Drosophila melanogaster: one gene and its partner. Changing the gene in region 1 together with any one later gene gives a genetic interaction. Each region holds a gene or a part of one and is shown on either strand. Other genes may lie near its edges.

Region 1 (3,824 bases):
ATTAGCAAAATGACATTCTCGATTTACATTGAAATTTCGTAGCTTGATGGTTGGTGGCTTTCTCGTAAATTTGTTAAATATCTCCTAGACTGGACAATAAAATTTGAATTGAAACCTATGAACACAAACAAACATACCCTTAGTTTTACGAATTGTAACCTACGGAGCTAATCTTTTCTGAAATTAATAATCTGTTCATGCTTTCGAGTATAAACTTTAAAAGTGCTAAGCCACGGGTACAGAATAATAGTCTATAACGTGAATGTTTTTGGCAATAATCAGTCGTCAAATTCGAACAATGGTTTGCCATTGGTGTCCCAGGTGTTTTTGCATTTCTTAAAGGCACAAACCAAATAAAGAGCTGAAATAAGAAGCTATTTAGTAATGGAATTCAGAAGTCGATGCTGAGTAAACTCACTTGCTGCTTCCCATTCGGATTTCGAGAGGGTTCCCACCGACCTGCTTCGCTGTGCTCCCTGAAAGTTACTCACATGGGCGAACTCTTCATCATTCTCGCAGCGCTGTGGCTGCACCGACTCCAAGCCGGACATTCGCTGCAGAAGATGCCGCCCGTGGTGCAGATTTTCCTTGTAGTAATCCGCAAATGTGGAGCGCTTCAATAGCTGCAGACCGTATTTTCTGCCCAGCTTGACCAGCGTGGGAAAATGCACTAGGAACTCGGGGCAATCGACAACGCCCTCCAAGTGAAACTGATACTTGGCTCCGAAAAGCGGCAAAGGATCCGTTTCGCAGTCAAATTCAATGCTGTACACATCGTTACCGAAACGCCGGGCATCTGGACCGGCTGCCCTTAGCCTGCGGATGATCTCGTAGGCATCCGGCATTGTGGCTATGAAGAAGCCACCGGGTTTCAGACACTCGGCTGCATTCCGCATCATGCAATCTGCCTGCGCCATTGACTCGAAGCAATAGTGAAAGGCAAACTGACAGGACACGAGATTCAGCTGAAGCGAAGGATCCTTATACCGTTCCCGCAGGCGCACTAATGTGGAGTCGCAGGCAAAAAACTCCGCGGTAAACTTATTCGCAAATTTCGACTTCTCCGATCGCTGCAGGATGTCCTGATATCGCCGCTGGCACTGCTCCACCGACACCTCAGCGATGTCGGTGCAGATGAGGTGGGAGATGGCAGCCTTCTCCCATTTGAGAAGGTCACCGCCCTTGCCGCAGCACATGTCCAGAACTCTGAGAGCATCACCCATGCGTTTGTTCTGCTTAATCTGCGACATATACTCGTTGATCAGCTGGCTCTTGATCCAGTTGTTAAAGTTCCTCATGAAGAATATCTTTGACTTCTGACGATCCTTGCGGCCCGCCTCCTTCAGCTCGTTGTAGTGGTGTGCCACCACATGTGTGTTGGCCGCTCCGCTGGCAGCCTCCGTTTCCGGCTCATCCTGATCATCTGCTCCACTTCCATTGCCCTTCCCGCCAGGCTCATCGTAGTACTCCCTCGGTGATTTACTAACATGCGGCTCCTGATTTGGTGCAGACGTGGTCTCCGCTTGGCCCTCGCTCTCCTCGTCGTCCGACAGGCTGACTGCTTTGTGTGCGCGGGCGAACTGCTCGTCTGCCGCGTTTTGTTCGTAATTAAGACTCATAGTCTCTATTAATTTTCTGTTTTGCCGGATGACCAACAGTCGTTGCCTATCGAAGTTATCGGGTCAGTTAGGAATGAGTGCACGAGTGCTATCGGCACTCGATGTTATTTCGCGCGGAAAGTATTCAGAATAAGAAATATACATTTTAGATTTAAATTTATTTTTCTTCCTAATTAATTTTTTATAAACCAATATTCTCTAAACCATCCTCATTAGCTACTTTTAAGATTAAAGCTAAACAGATTTTAAAAGTTCCATCACTAGTCAAGCACTAGTTAACAGTGCTGTTAATGGAAAACATCAATCAGCTGTTGGTAACTCATGCATTTCTTAACTTTTTAAATGCGGTTGCTTGGAACTTTGAATAAATTTGTTAAATTATTGAATTATTCCCTTGCCCGGAATTTTCCAAAACGCAGCATGGCCTGCAGCAGATTCGAGTACGTTAAATCCTTTGAGCAGGACGACAGCATACTGCCTAATGTGTGGATAGTCATACGAATAGACGGCAAAAAGTTCCACAAGTTCTCCAAGACGCACGATTTTGAAAAGCCCAACGATGAAAATGGTAAGAAAAAACACTCATTATAGTTCTTAATAATCCCATTAAATATTCGCTTTAGCTCTCAATGTGATGAATGCTGCTGCCACGGCGGTGATGCAGGAGTTTCGGGATATTGTCCTCGCCTACGGTCAAAGTGATGAGTACTCCTTTGTTTTTCGCAAAGAGACGGCAGCGTTCAAGCGACGATCCGCCAAACTGCTCACCTACGTCACCAGCTTGTTCTCCTCGAGCTATGTAATGCAATGGTCCAAGTGGATGAATCTGCCATTGGCCTATGCTCCGTGTTTCGATGGTCGCGTTGTTCTGTATCCTTCGGAGCAGAATCTAAAGGACTATCTCAGCTGGCGACAGGCCGATGTGCATGTGAACAACCTGTACAATACCGCCTTTTGGAAACTCGTTTTGGAAAAAGGCCTGACGAACCAGCAAGCCGAGGCGAAACTCCGTGGCACCTTTTCGGCGGACAAAAATGAGCTGCTCTTCCAGGAATTCGGGATAAATTACAACAATCTGCCGGCAATGTACAGAAAGGGAACGATTCTGCTGAGAAAACGCGTGATATTGGGTGAGAAGAGCAGGCAGGCCGTGGTGCCGCTGCACGAGGATCTGATATCTTCGCAGTTCTGGAAGGAACACACCGAAATATTGGGAAAATATGTGCCAGGCACATACGACGCACCACAAACTTTTCCCCGATTGGTGGAGATGCAAATAAATGGCAAGGATGACAATGAGGCGGAGGAGCCACAAAATCTGGCTGGTACCAGCTGATATAATAACGAATAGTCTTGCATTTTTAAAGATTAAAGTTACGATACATCTAAGGAAGTCGTTTCGGAGATTGAGGATGCGGTGCCCAGGCTGCTGGAGTGAAGGACAAACGGATGATCCGTAATGAAGAGTAGCTAATAGTTGAAAGTTCAACTTATGGCATATATTTTAAGATTAAATCTACACTAAGCTCATAGAAAGACTATTTCCTACTAGTAGTCGTCGTCGTCATCGTCATCGTCATCCTCACTTGGCTTGCTGGCAACGGAGCCGTCTGCCAGCGGTGGTCGCTGCACCATTGCTGCCGCTTGCATGCTCATCCACTGCTGCTGCTCCTCGCGCGCCTGCTCCTCGCGTGCCTTGGCGAACAGCTCCTGCTGCTGGCGCAGCAGCTCCTCCTCCGGAATGCCCAGGTTCTCTAGGCGCGTGCTCTGGCGCCTTCGCTTGGCTGCCACCTCCTTGCAGTCGTGCAGAACGGCCTCCGCCTCTTGTTTGTAGTCGTGAAAACCCAAGCGTTCCAACGCCTCCAGGACGTGCTCTGCGTTTATCGTCTTCTTGTTGCGCATGTTGCACACCTCGTTGGCCTCCGAACTGATCAGATGAATGAACTCTGAGCAGCAGTTGAGTATCAGCTCGCGACTCTCGTTGGCCACCCGCACCGTGGGCACCAGCTCCTTGATGATCTTGTTGATGCTGGCCCGTGGCAGGGTCAGCTCGTCGTCCTCGGCGCTGGGCGGCAGTAGTTCTTCCTGCGGATTCGACATGGCGTCCTGGTTTCAAGGAACAAACAAACAAACAAACTTGGAAGCAGATGTTTTTCTCGGATTTACTAGTATAGTGTGCTAGAGTGGCCGTTTACTGCTAACAGA
Region 2 (7,893 bases), on another chromosome or scaffold:
CTCGGGCGTCTTCCGGCCGGAGATGCTGCTGCCCATGGGACTGCCGGAGAACGTGAATGTAATCGCCTGGGGTCTGTCGCTGGAGCGACCCACCATGATCAAGTACGGCATCAACAACATTCGCGATTTGGTCGGACCCAAAGTGGATCTAAAGATGGTGGAGGAGGGCCCCATCTGCCGGCTGGATCATGCTTAATACCTTAAAAAATCAATAGGACCTGCGATCAAATTGCATTTTTTTTCACACATGAATGTTCCAAAACATATTTATAAATAAAAGTTCCGCCACAGAAACTGGGTCTATATTGATAAGGGAAATATAACATTTGGCGAACCATTTTTGTATTTTCCCTCCAAACAGCTGTTGTTCAGGGTTGTCAAGTGCAGCCGATTTATGCTATCTGCATTTTAGGTTATTGTTTGAGGGAAGCATATCGGGTTTATAAAATTCGGAAAATTTTTAAAGAAACTGCTTAGAGTGAGAATCCTAAAATATGTGAGAATAATAAAAACATGTTTGACAATCAGTCAATCAGTTGAAACTATTTGACAACTTTGCCACAAAACAACGTCAAACGAGCGAAGAAAACAACAAAGGAGAGACGCAAAAAAGAAGAAAGAAAAAAAAAAATAAACAAATTCGTCATCGTCGCTGGAGTTTGGGCCTTGAAAAATGGCAAGCAATCCGAAGAAGTCCCTCCACCAGGCGATCCAGGCCGAGTTTGGTCTCCAGCCCACCAGCGATTTGTCCAAATTGAGCAGTATAAGTGGCACGAGCCCAGAAGCGATGCCAAAATTCACAATTCCGCAGCTCAAAATTCCACAGCTTAGAATTCCACAATTGCAGCTGCAGACGAATGCGGATGCCGCTGCCGAGCAGGAATACCGCCGAGAGGCGGAGGCACACAATCAAATGCTACTCAATGAGATCCAGTTGAGGCAACGGCAGCGATCGGAGGGCGAAAACAAGCCGCAATCAATGGGATTTGTGTTACCCCAACTGGTCGCGATGCCCAAGGAGCCCCTGAACATACCCCTGCTGACAAGGTTGGAGAGCGGCATGAAGAAGCTGGATATAGGCGATGGGACAAAGGTGAATACAGCCACGTCAGCACCCCCACTCATTGACCTCACGTCCACGATTATCGCCAGGCATAAAGGCGCACCGCCCAAGGAGCTGGCCAGCAAGGCGCGCCAGTTGACCAATTGTGAGCCTTTTGCCATACCCTTCATTGCCTGCGATCGCGGAAGAAGGAGCACGACCGGTGTAACTCTCTTGGCCAGCAAAAGATCCATCAACTACGACGAGGACGTGCTGGCCGATCGGTCACCAGCGAATAGCGACTACCGGGAGCAACCGGGACCCATTGGGCTCATGCTGGACGAAATGGTGGGCTATCCGGAGCCGAGAAAGCCCCGTCTAGTGTACGCCGTCACTCCGCTGGAACGGCAGCACCTGCGAATGTGCCAGTATAAGGATTACGGCATCCAGGTGAAGAGATTCCGCTTTGATACTCCCTCGCCGGATGAGCTCGTCAAGCAGGCGCTGCAGAAGTCCTGGCGCTTCTCCCGCACTTGACTCCAGTTCATCCTGGTAGTTGACAATTACCAATAAGTGAATAAAAACAAAAAATCCACTACGTTCAAAAATAAAAGCTGTCTGACTTGATTCTTGCAGGGAGTTGATATCACCCATCGATTTAGTAACTAATTAGTTGGCCATCCAATCCCATTCTTTTGTGGCGCAAATATATTTGCGAACAAGTATATTTATGATTTTAGTATTAAAATATGTAACAATATTTATGTTGTTTATATGAATTTATCAAAACGATCATTAGAATGTTTTCACGCCTTATTTTATTTTGAGCCGTGGCGTCGAAGCTTATTCGCGTTTCAGCCAACGGTCACACTACACAGTCGGTCACACTATTGTTGGGCAGCAAGTCTGGGCACACTGCAACTTTGCGAATAGCAAAATCGCGAAACGCAAAAAATTATATTACTCCCATAAAGCACAATTCGAACGTAAAGTGAACTACTAACGTATAGAAAATAAACACAAAGAGCATAACATAAGAACAAACAACAAGGAGGCGTTTAAATATTTATCAAAATAAGTTCTCTGTTCTTGTTGTGCCTCTGTGTGTTTGTGTCTGTGCGCTCGTTTAACTGTGTGTGTGCTCCTTGCGTGTCGGTGTGCGGTGCCTGTGCTTTGGTGTGCGTGTGCGTATAGCTGTCACTTTCTGGCGCGCACACAAGATATATACACACAGAAATTTGAAGAAGCGGTGCCCACCACACGGCCCCCTCCCCGTTCCAGACAACCATCAACGCCACCAGCACCACCACCACCACCCCCTCCTGTTGGCGCGGCTCGGCTCGGCTCGGCTGGATGTGTGCGCCCGGTTCCGGTGCCTTTTGGTTACCGTTCCCGTGCATCTGGACCTGGAAGCAGTGTGTGCGTGCGAGTGAGCGGGCACGATAGAAGTTGAAAGAGCAGGCGAAAGGAGCAAGAGCAGGACGACAGAGGAGCTCGAGTTGCCGGTACCGTTACAGGTAATATTTATATGTGCGAGACACTCGGCGCAAGTGTGTGTGTGTTAGGTGGGGGTTGAAGATACGGATACAGATACATGGATACATTCCAAAGCGGCTGTATGTGCACTTTTCGCTGTTTCCCCAATGCACATTTAATTACTTATTTATTTTTGCGTTTAACTCGATCGTACCCCTCTTGCCGGCGACGCTCATGTTTTTTGTTGTTGTTATTTTCGGTAATTTATTGCCCCGCCTTCGATAAGATGGAAAATTCCAAACTGCCCACAGATTAGGCGTGTGTACATACATACAGAAATATACACACATTCTGGTTCTGTTTCTGTTTTCTGTGGCTGCTGTAACTCAACGAAAGCAAAAAAAAAGCGTCTGCAAACGCAGACATTTGACCTTGTTGGAGACAATAACAACAAGAATAGCAATAACAACGGTAGTGAAAATAGCAAGAACAGCAACAACCCACGCAGACGATTGCATTTGCGATTGTCGTTTTGGAAATGGAAAATCTAAATTGAATCTTTCTTTAGAAATCTGAATGTGAATCTAAGGCAAAAGTTAATAGATTACCCATATACACACGCTCGGGCAATTATCACAATAACATCGTCATCAGGGTCGAGCTTTTATCAGATCCAGCCGCTCACGCACACACATGCAAGCCAATTATCAGGTTTTAATTGCCAAAGCACGCACAACTAAACCCATTCCACTATTCCAGATCAGAAGTGCACAAGGGAAGCAGCAGCAGCATTAGGACTGTTCCAGTTCCACTTCCCAGTCCCGTTCCAGTATTCCAGAGAAGGTGATCGAAATAAAACTAAAACTAAAACTCGACCAACGCCAGCAGTGAGAGCAGTATTCAAAAGGCAACGCAGAGTTGGAGGAGGAGGAGCTAGTGGACGCGGAGGACACCAGGAAAGCCCAGGAGAACTCCCCCCCCCTGAGACCCTGAGATGTTGCCATTCACCCCGCAGGTGGTCAAGCGTTTGTTAGCACTCAAAAAGGGCAACGAGGACAACAGCGTCGAGGGCAAGTGGTCAGAGAAGGCCGTCAAGAATCTGGTCAAGAAGATCAAGAAGAATTCGCAGCTGGAGGAGCTAGAGCGCGCGATCTCCACACAGAACTGCCAGACGCGGTGCGTGACGGTGCCGCGCAGCAAGCCAGCTCCCGCCGGCGAGCATCTGCGCAAGGGTCTGCCGCACGTCATCTATTGCCGCCTGTGGCGCTGGCCCGATCTCCAGAGTCAGAATGAACTAAAGCCCCTCGATCATTGCGAGTACGCCTTCCATTTGCGCAAGGAGGAGATCTGCATAAATCCGTACCACTACAAAAAAATTGAACTGTCCATCCTGGTGCCCAAATCGCTGCCCACGCCGCCCGACTCCATTGTGGACTATCCGCTGGACAACCATACGCACCAGATACCCAACAACACCGATTACAATGCGGCGATCATTCGCAGCGCCTCGTTGAGTCCGCCGCAGTACATGGAATTGGGCGGTGCCGGGCCCGTTTCCGTATCATCGTCTGCCAGTTCGACGCCAGCGACTGCCGCCGGTGGTGGTGGTGGTCCCTCCTCGTCGTCGTCGTCGTCATCGTCCGCCGCCTCCGCCTATCAACAGCAACAGCAGCAGCTGTCCTTTGGCCAAAACATGGACTCTCAATCGAGTGTGCTTAGTGTGGGCAGCAGCATTCCCAACACCGGCACCCCGCCGCCCGGCTATATGAGCGAGGATGGTGACCCCATCGATCCTAACGACAACATGAACATGTCGCGTCTAACGCCGCCCGCCGATGCAGCGCCGGTGATGTACCACGAGCCGGCCTTTTGGTGTTCCATCTCCTACTATGAGCTAAATACGCGTGTCGGCGAGACGTTCCATGCCTCGCAGCCCTCGATCACGGTGGATGGCTTTACCGATCCCTCCAATTCGGAGCGCTTTTGCCTCGGACTGCTGTCTAATGTGAATCGCAACGAGGTCGTGGAGCAGACACGTCGCCACATCGGCAAGGGCGTACGGCTTTACTATATTGGCGGTGAGGTATTCGCAGAATGTCTGAGCGATTCGTCCATTTTCGTACAGAGCCCAAATTGTAATCAGCGATATGGCTGGCATCCGGCCACCGTATGCAAGATACCGCCCGGTTGCAACCTAAAGATCTTCAACAACCAGGAGTTTGCCGCCCTGCTGTCGCAGTCCGTGTCGCAGGGATTCGAAGCGGTCTACCAATTGACACGCATGTGCACCATCCGCATGTCGTTCGTCAAGGGCTGGGGCGCCGAATATCGCCGCCAGACGGTGACCTCAACGCCCTGCTGGATCGAACTCCATCTGAACGGGCCGCTCCAGTGGCTGGATCGCGTGCTCACACAGATGGGTTCGCCACGGCTGCCGTGCAGCTCCATGTCATAAGCGCACGGCCGGTTCCGGTTTTCAATCTTCCCCCTCCCCCAATTTTCCGCACAGAAAGCGCCGGAGTTTAAGGCCCATTTTTGGGTTTGAAAGAAGATCCACAGAAATCCCAGTAAACGGCTCTGACAAGTAACACTGACGATGAATGGATACTATCCTCAAGAATTTGCGGTAGTCAATATCGTTTATTATCGATTTTTATTCACATTCGAGAGAAATTTCAATGGTTATTAAGATGAAATTGGTATGCAATCAATGTGCTTTTGTTCGGCTTTGTAGTGATGTAGTTTAAATACCCTCTGTCAGGGTATAAAATTTAATTATGTCACTAGCTCTAGAAAAAGTACATTTCACTTGCCGAAAGCTGTACAAATTGATGTTGAAAAAAACTACTTGAATCCTTGATGTAACAAGAACTTCCGCATCATCCAAAAATACTATATACAGCTCTATTCATGTTGAATATGACCCGAGATTCATCAGTGTTACTAGTCAGCAGCTCCGCGGGATATCAAAATGAGAATCGGAATTGGTTTCAAAGAGAAAACCAAGAAAAATTCTGAGAGCACATATGAAATAAGTTCAGGCAAATTATATACGAGTACATAAATGAGTAATTGAAAAACAAATGGTAGATGCAAACCAGATGCAGATATATCTATATACAAAGAGCACACACTTACATGTGGGATATATATCTTTACAAGCATATATGAGAGAGAACATGTATTTGGCGTTACAAGTTTAGGACTATATATTGTGTAGGTGGAAACGTGGAGAGAGTTACAGTTTTCGATAAGAAGCAACAATTTTTTTAAACATTTTACATACAAAAAAAAAAAAAAAAAAAGAAAACCAAAAGCACATGAGGAAATAACCGAAATGGAACCGACCAGGAACACAAAAAAACCAAAAGATACCCCGAATCTGTGTGCGTAAAGTTGGTAGCGCTAGAAGCGAGAGAGTCAAAATTCTTTGAGAAAGAAGCAAAACAATTAAATTGGTGATTTGGAACAAAAATGAATGAGCAAAACAGGAACTGGGATTTATCAAGCTTGAAGCTTACACACACAGACACACTACCATACATTGCAAATGTACATAAGACCAAAATAATGAAATTATTCACGCAGGACCTCCACTTGATCGAGTATGGGATTATAGATATATCCGTTTGAAGATGGTTGTTAAACGTTTCGATTTTCGCTTAGTACGTGTGTGTTAAAAAATTCGTAAACTCTTAAAGCGCAGTCAGCTCTTGTTAGTCGTAATATCCGTAAAATGCGATCATATATCCTATGTGTAAAGCACTTGCCCAACAAAATTTGAATGCCGCAAGCCAGGTCTGGCCCATCTAAGGTGCCATTTTGTTCAGAACTGCATTTATTGTGTACCAAATGAGAGATTCTTGATTCTTTTACAGCATCGTATTTGAAACGATAGCTTAACCAACCAATATGCAATATGGTTTGCCGTTGCTGGCCGGATTTTGCTTGGCAAGTGCACGTTTTTCTTGGGTCTAGATCTTAAGTCTATATATGTAACAAAATTCGCTAGCTTATCTTAACGTTTAAAGAGCCCAAATCCAGTTTAAGTTCAAGTTCAAATTGTTTTTACGTCAATATTTGCTGATTCTTTTAATTCTTTTGTTTTTTTTTGCCCATTGCTTCGCTGTTACGACCAAAAATAACTGTACCGCCTGGCCAGTGTTGGGCAGTGAATGGTGCGTGGCGGGCAGTGTTGCCTAGCGCACTTGTCCTCTGGTTCCGGCGAAACTTTAATTTAAGTTTTGTCTATTGTTTGCCCCCTTTGTTGCTTTTAAGTTTCTCACGTGTGCAGTTTAGTGCTAAGACACTTAGTCCTGATTGTCAATCAATCGAATAAACGACCGCGAACGAGATTGTGTTTTGTTAATTGGCTCTAATCACTGTTTTTAATCAAACAATTGTTTTCGTATTTCCGGCTAAGCCCGCAAATAATGTAATGTAATCCTTAAGTTATGCCTAAACGAAACAAAGCAATGCAGGCGAACATGCAACAGCAACAGTCAACAGTCCTCCGAGGACACAACCACAGAGAACCAGCAACCCCGTACCCGTAACTTTATAAAGTATAAATACAAATATATACATATATCTAATATGCAAGCATGCAGATAAAGACAAACAGAATCGTATATATAAATAAACACTTATATTGAATGGAAAGCGCAGACCAAGCCCCCTTCCGGGGGGCAGCTTAGGGTGGGGCGAGTCTCGGATTCGCCTGGAATTCGATTCGAATGGACAGGGAAATCGTACCGTATACTAACATAATCAAAGTGCTCTCGAGCTGTCAACGCTCGTGCACCTTGAGGTGTTGCTTATGATTGGATTTGCGCAGAAATCGTGCTGGACAGAGTGGACAGGCAAATGGTCGCTGCTGGGTGTGGGCAATCTGGTGGTGCTTCAGCTCCGAGGCACTAAAGAATCTCTTGCCGCACTCCGGCTGTGGGCATGGGAAGTCGCGCTGATTGTAGTGCCGCTTCAGGTGGATGCTAAGATAGCACTGATCCGTTAGGACCCGGCTGCAAACCGGGCAGGTGAAGCTGAGCGCAGATGTATCCCGTTGCTCTTGCTCCGCCAGCGGATGTTCGGGATCCGGATCCGTTTGTGCCGCATGCCTTAGCTTTGTGTGAATGCGCCGCGCGTGGATGGAATGAAAGGAGAGATGACAGTCGGTGGCCAAACATGGATATGGTTTCTCTCCCGTATGCAAGCGTCGATGGACAGTTAGGTAGTTGGCATACCGGAAACCCTTGCCGCAGATATCACATTTGTGTGGCCGCTCCGCCGTGTGGGTCACTGCATGGATGCGTAGCTTGTTCAGTTGCCGGAATCCCTTGCCGCACTCCACGCACACATGCGGCTTCTCGTCCGTG

What was found.
Region 2: of THG (region 1) and Smox, changing one suppresses a phenotype caused by changing the other (phenotypic suppression), as found in Drosophila melanogaster (one study listed by BioGRID).

What each region holds. Positions count from the first base shown.
Region 1 is NT_033779.5:15,007,813-15,011,636, reverse strand, and holds THG (tRNA-histidine guanylyltransferase), read left to right. Parts: upstream 1-1,912; 5' UTR 1,913-1,933; intron 1,934-1,944; exon of another isoform or gene 1,945-2,038; 5' UTR 2,039-2,039; coding exon 2,040-2,187; intron 2,188-2,242; coding exon 2,243-2,955; 3' UTR 2,956-3,148; downstream 3,149-3,824. Other genes in the region: Rnmt (RNA guanine-7 methyltransferase), read right to left, coding at 279-361, 419-1,619; NC2beta (negative cofactor 2beta), read right to left, coding at 3,168-3,719. UniProt on the Drosophila melanogaster protein: Adds a GMP to the 5'-end of tRNA(His) after transcription and RNase P cleavage.
Region 2 is NC_004354.4:8,136,302-8,144,194, reverse strand, and holds Smox (smad on X), read left to right. Parts: upstream 1-1,915; 5' UTR 1,916-2,559; intron 2,560-3,277; 5' UTR 3,278-3,512; coding exon 3,513-4,973; 3' UTR 4,974-7,154; downstream 7,155-7,893. Other genes in the region: alpha-PheRS (Phenylalanyl-tRNA synthetase, alpha-subunit), read left to right, coding at 1-196; CG17982 (uncharacterized protein), read left to right, coding at 674-1,579; CG2120 (uncharacterized protein), read right to left, coding at 7,308-7,893.